Arabidopsis thaliana: one gene and its partners. The protein of the gene in region 1 interacts with the protein of each later gene in a pairwise test. Each region holds a gene or a part of one and is shown on either strand. Other genes may lie near its edges.

Region 1 (3,658 bases):
GGCATAACGCTTCAAACAAAGAGAACTACTTCGTTGTTCTTTTTCGATAGGATCTATCAAATATTATAGACCCTTTGCTGATATTGATACCAAAACCGGTTGAATGCATTTGGTCTGTCTCTGATTACTATTTGACATCCTCTTCTTTTGAATATTTGTGTGTATTCAGTTTCAGAAGATAAAAGATGCAATCCAACTGCACAATACCGATCGTTGCAGCCTCGGTCCAGCCAAGGTACCTGAAGGCTTAACATTAGCCAAACCAGCTGCATCAAGTTGAAGTGCCAGATTTTTAGATATATTACTAAGGCAACAATCTTTGGTTGCTCAAGCAAATACTCAGCTTAAAATTCTGTATATCGTCATATTTTTGGGTGTAAAAGAATACTTCCTAAAGCCAGTTACGATTCTTCTGCTAATAGTCAATTGCAAATGTATTTTCACTACTGCTGTTCTTTATTGCTTTAAAGCAAGCTTATTGATGAAGTCATGTGAGGTTGCATAAGTCTCATTTCCATAGTTTTGGGGTAAATTTATAACTTTCTCAACTTACCGAACGATAGTGAAAAACAAATACATAGCACAATGGTTACAATAATCATGTGTTGTGATTACAATTTACAAATTTACAAGAATCATATCAAATAAGATTTTTTAAAAATTTACAAATGTGAGCTCAAGACTTTTAAGTGTTAAAGATAAGTTAAGGGCTGAAAACTAAAACATGTAGGAATAAGAGGACTGTTTGGTAAACGTTTTAACGTTTAAAGTCTTGCCTTTTGATATCAGATTTTTCTCAGGTTCCCACGCGCCGCCGCGAAACAGCTAGACGGAGAAATCCAAAATTCGGCGAAGGTTTGAGAAGAGAGAAATCTGAGAGATGCAAGGAGTGTGGAGCCAACTATGGAGGAAATATGCTGATTATAAGTACAATAAGTTCGAGAGATTTGCTGTTTGGGAAATGATCGAACCTTACCGTCGACCAAAAACCTTCACAACTTTGATTACTATCTATGTCGCCGCCTTTTACACCGGCGTCATCGGCGCTGCAGTTACAGAGCAGCTCTACAAGGTCAGCTTCGTATTGTTATCGATTCAGGCCCGGAATTGCTATTAGATTTGTGGGTTCTAATTTGATTCTCGTGATTGGTAAATGTTAGGGTTCGAAATGTGATAAAATTGGAAATGATTCATTGTTGATTACTAATAAAGGATTGTGTGATCATGAAAAGAACTATACTTGAATTGCTTTTCATGGGAATGGTTCATTAGGTCTTTCAATGAAGCTTTTACGTCTTGATTAGTATCTAATCTAATTCATTGTTCTGTAGTATATTGTATTCTTTGTCAATGTGTTTCTTACACTGTTTTGTGTTAGTATCAGTTATGTTTCTTGTTTGAGTGTGAACTTTATGTTACTCCACTCTCTGTAAACAGGAGAAGTTTTGGGAAGAGCACCCAGGGAAAACAGTGCCTCTGATGAAGCCAGTATTCTATCGAGGACCATGGAGAGTTTATCGTGGTGAGGCTATTGCTTCAGATGCTAGCAGCCAGTGAAGCTAACGATTAGGCTATCAGAGACTATGGTGAAGGATGTATCTCCGACTTTGATACGCAGATATAAATGGATTTATACTGGTTCACTAGTATATGTATATCAAAAAACTTCTTTTGGTTCAGTAGAATGTTTGTGTCTGTATTTCGAGTCTAATGACTCTCTTAAGAATCTATTTTCTAGAAATTACATGTAATGACAGTCTCGTTATAGTATAAGGATTTGATTTGAGAAGTTTAAGGGTATCCATTCATTCCTTTGAATATCTCTGCTTGTATCTGCCTCTCTTCTGGTGTCCTGAAATAAAACATTCCCAAATAAGATAGATGATCTAACTACCTCAGAAACATTGAGCCAACACAGATTTTTCTCTTCAAATTAGGTTGCTTCACATTCTTTAGTCCATATAGATTCCTCTGGGGACGTACTCTGTTTCTTTCCTTCCTTTTTTTTTTTGTTTGTTGCTTGTGAAAGAATATGACAACCTATGGCACTATACCATCCCAAGAAAATGCTTCGTCGAGCCTGAGCTTATTAGGACGAGCCAAAGAATTGATCTCGTTAGGTCTTAGCTCTCAAAGGCCATGGCTTGAACTTGTCCAATGTAGTGCCTTTAGCCTTCCTATCTCCTTTAGCGTTGCCACTGAACGAATCAAATCCAACATCATGATCTTTCGAACCAACTACATTGTTATCTTCATTGTTAGTATCTTCATCAGCATGCTTTGGCAACCCGTCCACCTTTCCGTCTTTGTTATCTTGATAGTAGCATGGCTATATGTCTACTCCCGTGATAATGAACCATGGGTGATATTTGGCAGTGTGATCGATGATTCTACTTTGGTGCTGGTTTTGTTGGTCCTCACGATCGGTATATTTCTACTAACAGATGTATCCCGCGGTATTGTGATCGGGGTTTTGGCTGGTTTGCCCGTTGTTCTGGTTCATGGCATGTGTAGGAGGAATACAGAGATGTTGTTCGTCTTGGAAGATGATGAAGAGAAAGTGGCAATGAACACATCATCTTCGTCACTTTCTTCTTCCTCTTAAGTCTTCACAATTGAGCACAAGATTTTCAGTTTTTCTTTCCTGAATTTGTCTACATAGTTCAAAACAACGCATATCCAGTGAAGGAACGTTAACATGCTGCAAAAAGAACTTGAGCTCTTTTGCGATCAAAATTCAGGATGTGGATATTGATGTACTGATGCATGTCAGAGACCTTGGTGACAAATAAAAGGCAATTTTGCGTGCTGATTAAAAACATTATCCTATGATAGAATTCCTATCTAATTATCTCCAACAAGCCAATACAATAACGAAGACAAGTGTGATCCTCTTCTCAGTTATCACTTATTACAAATTATCCAATCGATTCTCTCATTTTCAACAATTACGAATTGAAAGGTTGTAACTTTATATGAACAATGATCTAGTTTTTAATTTTATCACAACAATTATCAAGTTCAAATGCAATAGGGATTTGGCTATATATACCATTTTACTTTTTAGACACGACATGAAGAAGTAGTTAGACCATCTCCAACAAAGAGAACCCCAAAAAATTCTCAAATAAAAAAAATATTAATATTTTACTATAATTTGATTATACAATTAAATTTTTATTTTAGTAAAAAAATTAGATAATTGTAAAAGAGATAAGTGTTTAAAAGGAACTCTCTAAAATATCTGAGGTGGTTTAGACGTCTCGCTAATATCAACCGGCCTAGTCCCAGAGTGAATACAATATTTTTACATTTGGTAAATGTTAAGCAAAACCAACTAAGACTTATTCCTAATAAACATATTTAATTTATTTATTTCAAAGAGATAATTACATAGGTTTATATTGTCTATGAAGAATTATTTTGTTTATAATTTTTTTAATATGTTATAGTGTTCTAGAATTACCAAAATATAAAGTTTGTTAATCATGTTTAATTTAAAGCAAAAAAAGAAGATAAAACATAAGAAAAACAAAAGCAAACTACAAGCAAAATATATATAAATTTTCAAGATTTCTCCTTATTCCTCCAAACTCTATGCATTTTAAAATAGTTGGTTTGAGGATGTATTGTTTATTATTTCGTTATTATCATGCTT
Region 2 (3,805 bases), on another chromosome or scaffold:
AAAAGTATTTTATTATTTCAAACGTAAATTATGTTTGTGTTTACATATACCTTTTTTTTTATGTATTCAGGATAAAATATTCTTAGATTTTCATACACTAATTTTTTTTTTGCTTGATATTTAAGTGATGTCTAAACATATATAAGATCTATCGGTATATGATCTATTCAAATGGCAATTAGAGTTGGTAAATTTATTATCTTCCCCAGCATTAAGATTTGAGATTCATTCAGTTTGAAGATTCTTTGATATTTTGTGTATTTTTATTTTAGTAGTTACGCTTAATGATATTGATTTTATTTTTAACTAAGACTTTTCTGAATCCACCATTTGTTCGAATTATATATCATCTATAGTGGATCACTCACCACTTGTTTCGTCGGCAAATGAAAGATGTGAATTTTCTTAACATTTTTTTTCTTTTTTTCTTTTTATAAGATGAGCATTAAATGTAAAACTCGATAGTAGGTGAAATCGTGTATTGTTATTTGTTAGGTTCGCAATTATGATGACAGGCCATTAATATAATTTGGCCTTGTAAGTCACATATTGTATGGTTATAATTTCTGAAAGTTTTTGGAAGGCGTAGAGCTTTATAGAACACCACTAATTTTAAAGTGTTTTTAACCCGAAGTTTCAAAATGTCACTTAGTACACATGTATAAAACACACAGTAGGCCTAACACAGATTACTTTACAGAGAAATTACATGGGCAAAATCGTATTAAAACATCCTCCCCATAACGTGCTCTCTTTTCCTTAGACGAGTGTCCCACCTTTGACGAACTCAGTGAACGCCAACGCGACCAAACCGAGCATCGCGAAACGTCCGTTCCAAAGCTCAGCGTCTGACGTCATGATACCTTTGGACTTGGACTCAACGCTTATGCCCTTGAAAAGCGGCACAAGCGACGCAAGTGTCAAGATCGCTGTTGTACCGAGGAACCATGAGACGCCACCGTCGGAGATCTGAGCTAAAACGTTTTCACCCTTGGATAGCTCGACAGCCAACGCCGCAACGAATCCAACCATCGCTAAACGTCCGTTAATCCTCTCTGGTGCTGGACCGCTAAACGCTAGCAAGTCGCTAAACTTTGTGCTCACCTATATTCACCACCCCAAAAGTTATTAACAAAGATTCACAAATAAAGCTTGTTTAATGAATTTTCAAGATTGTATGTTCTTAATATCTAAGACCCGATTAATTAAAATACAAATTCTTGTTTATCAAAACTTCTAAAATTATACCTTAGGTTTCATAGGAGGAGGAGGAGATGGTGACTTCGGCAACGGCTGAGCGGCCGAGGTAGATGGTGCTGGTGAAGAGTCTTCATTCGTGGGTCCTCCCTGAAAAAGTCAAATAATCAGACGGTCAGGATTTCATAGTCACATGATGAATGGCCGTTGTATCAGGGAAGTGGAGAATAACGTACCTCAGCCATGCATCTCACTCCCACCGGATAATTCCTCTTGAGGTTAGGGAAGCTACCGGCGGAGAAAAGCTTGTTGGTGTTGATCTTGCGAGTGGTTAATCCACCGGCGAAGACTGATTGCATGTTGAACGATGCTGTTGCCATTTCTAAAGCTTAGAACTACTAGTGTGAGAGAAATTAAGAAGAAACTTGGAGTAGCTAAGTGATTATCGCTTAGGTTACAGAACTTTAAGCTAGATCGTGTGTAGAAGCTTGATATGAGTAACGAATGATCTTACGTATGTATTTATAGGACGGGTGATCAGAAATGATAGGTCATTAGGTCGAGTTGTTTCCTGAACTTTCTTTTAGTTATTTACTTATTTAGCCTTTCGATATTGATAAGTTAATATAGTTCACACAAAAATAACCAACGGTCAAAAACATTACACGTGAATCATATAGTATTTGAAAGGTTCACTATCTAGGTTGAAGGATCAGCGTTCAAATTTTCTTACTACAATTTTTATTCTGATTTGTTATTAAACTGTTTCAACTGGATTAATTAACACACACCAAATTCATTATAAGTCTCACATAGTATCATATTCTTTATTGTTATACGAGTAGTAATCAACAAAGTCATTAAGTACATCACCTCGATAAAAAGCCAATTCTATGGAAAAATTAATATGGACAGTTTATCTACATTTCATATTCTTATGAACTAAAACATGCTAATTATTTTATTTGGATCTCCAAGATTTTTGGACATCCAAATTATTTCTAAACTGACTGACTCGTGTATTTGGCCGGTCCAAAACAAAACACGTAGGCTCCAAAAGTGTAAAAGAGGAAGCTGCGATATTTAAAGGAACCACGTTGCTTAGATTGTCCCCACGCATAACATAAATTTAACTTTTGAAGGACAAGGAACAAAGTCCATGGCGTGGCCTACTCATTCGCCACAGTTTCTTCTCACTTTTTTGGCCAAGTGCCAAGTGGGTTAGGTTAAAAACGTAAAAAAGATTCTCTCCATCTCCCAAAAACATGTGGCTCAAAAACAAAGCATAACATTGCTTTCGTTTCTAGAATACGTTCATTTCATTACACATCTCTCTTTATGCTTTTGGAACTTAGCTGAGTTTGGATTCAGACAGGCCCATACTTAGTCTGGCCGAGTCCGTGACTGTTCTCTCTTTGTCCCTTTCTACGTGGCCGATCCTAACTCCGTCAGTTTTTTGGTAATATTTACGGTCGTTTCAAAATGTCAATAACTTTACAATTAAATGGAGATAAAGATTATTTACTGTTAAGAAAAAAAAGACTATTTACTCTTACAGTCATACGTATCTCATAACGGGCCGTATAGGGCTCATTAGGCCCATCAACTCTAGCTTCCCTAACCAAATCATGTCTTTCGCTCATATATGTTCGTTTCTAATGTAGTGTTGACCAAATCTGCAAATTGACATTCTGATCATTTTAGTCTTTGATAACATATGAAAGAAGAATTGTCATTCTCAACCTAAGGAAATTTGGAAGGATTCACTTTTACATGGTAACACAAAGAAGAAAACATATGATTCTTTAGATTTTGTTCCCGGAAATAATGATTTCTTAGAATATAAGTACTTTGACATTATTGACCAAATAAATAAAAACTACCTTGACATTATTATGCATACATAACAGTCAATTCTTTTTAACACATATCAATGGCGTAGATAAAAAAAACTTCCAAAACGTACATTAAGTCATTAACCAATATATATACAAAAATCAAAAATTTTTTGTAAAAACAAACATCACTGAAACACTTTTTGAAGTAAAATTTTATCAATTTAATCATAATTTAGATCGTATTTTACTTACATTAAAATTAGTAATATTTTTCTCTAACTCTCTTTAATGACCAAAAGCCGTTGACCAATAAAATCTCCCCGTGTCGTCATAAACCGGTTTTAATTTCCGGTTTGGTAATCTAAGTCGCAATAAAATCCTCTTTGTCTTCTTCTTCTTCCTCTACTCGGCGAATTCTCTCGAGAAAACAAACTGAATTTTTTTGATCGAAGAAGATCTAAAAAAAAAGATGGAGAGACGACAAGCGAAGATCCATGTCTTTGTATTGATAGGTCTAATTCTATTGAATTCAATCAATCAAATCTCATCTCTCTCTGTAACGGTGAACGACGAAGAATGTGTCCAAGAGTACGTCCTTTACGAAGGCGACACTGTTTCCGGTAACTTCGTCGTCGTCGATCATGATATCTTCTGGGGATCCGATCATCCTGGTTTGGATTTCACGGTTAGCGATCTTTCAATTTACCTTTTTACCCCAAAAGTTCTTAACTTTGATACGTTTCCTTCGATAATCCCAATGTTTGATTTAT
Region 3 (4,844 bases), on another chromosome or scaffold:
CTCTGATTTGCTTAAGCAGCATGGAATTGAGCAGCTGGATAAATGGGGTTGCTTGTGGGTAACGTTAGCTTGGGGATTCTTCTTTAGGATCTTGTTTTATTTTTCGTTGTTGCTTGGAAGCAAGAATAAGAGGGCGTGAACGCCATAATGTAAATTTTTCCGAAACAGAAATTTTATTGTGAAAGCAAAATTGTCTTTTTGAATTTGAGATATTGATGATATATGTTGTATAATTATTATTTTTTTCTTTCATAGCTATCATATATTGTCTAAAGAAAGAATCGTACATCTAACATTTTACATGATGTTAGGTTCACAATTTTATAAAGGACTAAGATTTTAGTTTAATTCACAATTGGTAATGTTTTTAACTTAACAATATGAACTACATCAATAGTTTAAAGTTCAAACTAATATAAAGATACCACAAGCTACCAGTGAAGTAATTTAGTAGTTTTAATGTGCGTGTGAGCTATATGCCATCTTTCGTGGTCGGTGTAAACATAACGTATTTGACAAAATTCAAATTGCATCACTTTTTAAAAACAAAAGTATATACAACTAAACAGTTGGTCGAAAATAGAATTCAAAGTAGCCAACTTTCTTATAAGCTTTATTAGATGGTATTATAAATCTTTGACCCTTTTCTTATGGCGGTAAGGAAGACTACAGTAGGTAGAAGTTAGTCACCTAAACTTCAAAATGTCAACCAAAAAGATGTAACAGTGAAGTCAAAGTTTAGGATTGGAAATCCAAGAAGCTAAGCCAGTACGTCAATTTTGCTTTCATGTTACCATTGTGTCCATCACTAGAAGTTTGACCAAGTACTACTTAAGAGGAAGTTGCCTAACCTTTTGATCTGTTTCTTCTTTCCCTGGATGGATCAAAGACATCACTATTTTTACTTTCTTAACAAATAGTATTTGAAATGTGACACCATCTTTATGATTCTCGTGTAATTTTCGCATGCATGTTTAATTTTAGCAACAAACTTGACGATTTTTATTATATTTCTCTTAAACCACCACTCCACCCTTTACAAAACAAAAAGAATGTTTTATCAGCTTCTGTATACTGTGAATAAAACAGAGGAAACAAAGACCAAACACAATATTTGAGTTTGGTAAAGAATGTTCCACCGTTACCAACTAAATAATCAAGAAATAGAAAAAATGAACTTGGAGATTGTGTGTAGTCTTTCATAGCAAAAACAGGAGTTTATATTCCCAAACTAAATACAAATCTAGCTACTTTATCAAATATAACTTTTATATTATATTTGGTAGAATTAGTTGGGGTTCCGGAATTATTGCAATTTGCAACTTTTAGGCAGTTAGCAGCATAAGCAATCGTCTTCGGTCGCGAAAACAAAAGAAAATGTGAATAGTTTATCTAGGTACACATTTGCTTGCGATACAAACAATCACTATATCGCTACCAACATTCGAAGAATCTTTTAAAAACATTAATTAATTGACCAAACACTATGTGAAACGCAAGAAATATCTCATCTCAATCCTATATACTATCTATACCTCGGTTAGATCAACACCCTTCACCTAATTCTCCATTCTAATCGCCACGTGTCAGCCATTTCTACGTATTTTAGTATTATCACCTTGGAAAATCTAGATTTATTGGTCATCCCATTACCTCTCCCTAATTGAATACGAGAAATCCAAAACGCATTTTCCATCCAAACGCTAAGAATATTATTGTTAACAACACAAACCTAACAGATTTCTCATGATGATGCAACTCATTCAACACATAGAACCTTCGTGTTCACACGCTTCCACACGTTACTTCATATATATAAGGCCTATACACAGATACTAGCAAAACAGAGAACAAAGACTAACATTTTGATCATGCAAAGAGTGTTTTGATTTTCAAGTGTAAGCACATCATTTCTCACTTTACCATCTTTTGTTCTAAATGTCTCGCATACTAGTAGAAGATGATAATGCAACACCGTTTCATTCCATGGAGATTATTAGCTCATCTTTGACTTTAGGCCAACTTCTCAAGAACGTTAGCGACGTTCGTAAGGTTGAAGTTGGTGACGAAACTCCTGTTCATGAATTCTTTGACAGGGATGGTTCTTCACTTGACGGAGATAATGATCATCTTATGCGTCCTGTTCCTTTCGTTCTATCTTTCAACAACCTTACTTACAACGTCTCTGTTCGCCGGAAACTTGACTTTCACGACCTGGTTCCATGGAGGAGGACATCTTTCTCCAAGACCAAGACTCTTCTAGACAATATCTCCGGTGAGACTCGTGACGGAGAGATTCTTGCCGTTCTTGGAGCTAGCGGGTCAGGTAAATCCACTTTGATCGACGCTTTAGCGAATCGGATCGCTAAAGGAAGCTTGAAGGGCACGGTAACGCTTAACGGAGAAGCTCTTCAATCTCGGATGCTGAAAGTTATCTCAGCTTATGTAATGCAAGACGATCTTCTCTTCCCGATGCTTACTGTGGAAGAAACCTTAATGTTTGCAGCTGAGTTTCGATTACCAAGAAGCTTACCTAAATCCAAGAAGAAGCTTCGAGTTCAAGCCCTAATCGACCAGTTAGGGATAAGAAACGCTGCTAAAACAATCATTGGAGACGAAGGACACCGTGGAATCTCCGGTGGAGAAAGAAGGCGAGTTTCGATCGGAATCGATATCATCCACGACCCGATTGTTCTCTTCCTCGACGAACCTACTTCTGGTTTAGATTCCACAAGTGCTTTCATGGTGGTTAAAGTATTGAAGAGAATCGCAGAGAGTGGCAGTATCATTATAATGTCAATACATCAGCCAAGTCACAGAGTTCTCAGTTTACTTGATCGTCTTATCTTCTTGTCACGTGGACACACCGTCTTTAGTGGTTCTCCGGCGAGTCTACCGAGCTTTTTCGCCGGGTTCGGTAATCCGATACCGGAAAACGAGAATCAAACGGAGTTTGCACTCGATCTAATCAGAGAACTCGAAGGATCAGCTGGAGGAACAAGAGGATTAGTTGAATTCAACAAGAAATGGCAAGAGATGAAGAAACAGAGCAATCCTCAAACCCTAACTCCGCCGGCTTCTCCAAACCCAAATTTAACCTTGAAAGAAGCGATTTCCGCCAGCATAAGCAGAGGAAAACTAGTCTCCGGTGGCGGCGGTGGTTCCTCCGTCATAAACCACGGTGGCGGAACCTTAGCCGTCCCTGCATTCGCGAATCCGTTCTGGATCGAAATCAAAACTCTCACCAGACGCTCAATCCTCAACTCCCGACGACAACCGGAGCTACTCGGAATGCGATTAGCCACCGTAATCGTCACCGGATTCATCTTAGCCACCGTATTCTGGCGATTGGATAATTCACCAAAAGGAGTTCAAGAGCGGTTAGGGTTCTTCGCATTCGCAATGTCAACAATGTTCTACACTTGCGCCGATGCTCTTCCCGTGTTCCTCCAGGAACGTTACATCTTCATGAGAGAAACAGCTTACAACGCTTACCGGAGATCCTCCTACGTTCTCTCTCACGCCATTGTTACCTTCCCTTCGCTCATCTTCCTCTCTTTAGCTTTCGCAGTGACGACGTTTTGGGCTGTTGGGCTTGAAGGAGGCCTAATGGGCTTTTTATTCTACTGCTTAATCATCTTAGCCTCTTTCTGGTCCGGAAGCTCCTTCGTGACTTTCTTATCCGGCGTCGTTCCACATGTGATGTTAGGCTACACGATCGTTGTTGCTATTTTAGCTTACTTCTTGCTTTTCAGTGGCTTCTTCATCAACAGAGATCGAATCCCTCAGTATTGGATTTGGTTTCATTATCTTTCTCTGGTTAAGTATCCATACGAGGCGGTTCTTCAGAACGAGTTCTCGGATCCTACAGAATGTTTTGTGAGAGGTGTTCAGCTTTTCGACAACTCGCCTTTGGGAGAATTGACGTATGGGATGAAGCTGAGGCTTTTGGATTCTGTGAGCCGGTCGATAGGTATGAGGATATCGAGCTCTACGTGTTTAACGACGGGTGCTGATGTTCTGAAGCAGCAAGGAGTGACACAGCTTAGTAAATGGAACTGCTTGCTTATCACGGTAGGTTTCGGATTCCTATTTAGGATTTTGTTTTACTTGTGTTTGTTGCTTGGGAGCAAAAACAAGAGGAGGTGAAACTGAAACTACTGATGATACCTAAAACCAAAAACATATATTGTAATTCTTTTTCATTACTTGTAATTCGTAGATTGATTGTGTATTTGAATTGTATTCTTTTTAACATTTGTATTACTTTTGCCATCAATAAAAAAAATATCATTCTTTAGGAAATTGGAAATACAAAAAGCACCTATGAATCGCTTTTACTCAGAAAATTAATGCAACATTTCAAATAGAGGCATTGAGATTGTGGAAGAAAAATGAGGAGACACAGACACTGTTGCTAGAGGCAAGTAACTCTCAAAGCCATTTCACTTTGTAAGGTATCAAAAAGTCAAAATTGGAAGGCTATCTACAAAATCAATTAAAAACAAACCGATTTATCTGAAATTTAAAACCGAAACAAACCGGACCGAATCAGCATCAGAATATCGTCTGGTCCTGGCCGCTCTGCTCTAGCCGCAGTCGAAACACGAGTCCATAATACGAGCGGTGGTTGCTCACGCGCCATCCAGTTTGGCTGGAGATGCTATTCTGCATTTCGACAGTGAAGCTTTTCGGGTTTCAACAAAGGCGCAATGTTAGCTCTTTAGCCAAGCGTTTCAGTCTCGCCGGGAAACTAACGTTAGAGCTCCAAACTCAGGTTTGATTTGTGAAAGATTGAGACTTTCGTGAAATTTGTGAAATCAATGTGATGGACTGTTCACAGC

Evidence for each region. Proteins that work in one complex are often made in the same cells at the same time.
Region 2: the proteins of PRA1.C (region 1) and ELIP1 interact in a protein complementation assay, tested with the Arabidopsis thaliana proteins (one large-scale study listed by BioGRID).
Region 3: the proteins of PRA1.C (region 1) and ABCG16 interact in a protein complementation assay, tested with the Arabidopsis thaliana proteins (one large-scale study listed by BioGRID).

Annotation. Positions count from the first base shown.
Region 1 is NC_003075.7:14,532,394-14,536,051, reverse strand, and holds PRA1.C (prenylated RAB acceptor 1.C), read left to right. Parts: upstream 1-1,978; 5' UTR 1,979-2,032; coding exon 2,033-2,605; 3' UTR 2,606-3,115; downstream 3,116-3,658. Other genes in the region: ACHT2 (atypical CYS HIS rich thioredoxin 2), read left to right, coding at 1-69; EMB2752 (embryo defective 2752), read left to right, coding at 881-1,072, 1,438-1,557; AT4G29654 (Protein kinase superfamily protein), read left to right, coding at 3,598-3,626.
Region 2 is NC_003074.8:8,083,869-8,087,673, forward strand, and holds ELIP1 (Chlorophyll A-B binding family protein), read right to left. Parts: upstream 1,802-3,805; 5' UTR 1,578-1,801; coding exon 1,434-1,577; intron 1,348-1,433; coding exon 1,249-1,347; intron 1,105-1,248; coding exon 760-1,104; 3' UTR 537-759; downstream 1-536. Other genes in the region: AT3G22845 (emp24/gp25L/p24 family/GOLD family protein), read left to right, coding at 3,505-3,720. UniProt on the Arabidopsis thaliana protein: Prevents excess accumulation of free chlorophyll by inhibiting the entire chlorophyll biosynthesis pathway (e.g. 5-aminolevulinate synthesis and Mg-protoporphyrin IX chelatase activity), and hence prevent photooxidative stress.
Region 3 is NC_003074.8:20,415,647-20,420,490, reverse strand, and holds ABCG16 (ABC-2 type transporter family protein), read left to right. Parts: upstream 1-1,580; 5' UTR 1,581-1,938; coding exon 1,939-4,149; 3' UTR 4,150-4,308; downstream 4,309-4,844. Other genes in the region: ABCG17 (ABC-2 type transporter family protein), read left to right, coding at 1-139; AT3G55080 (SET domain-containing protein), read left to right, coding at 4,661-4,777.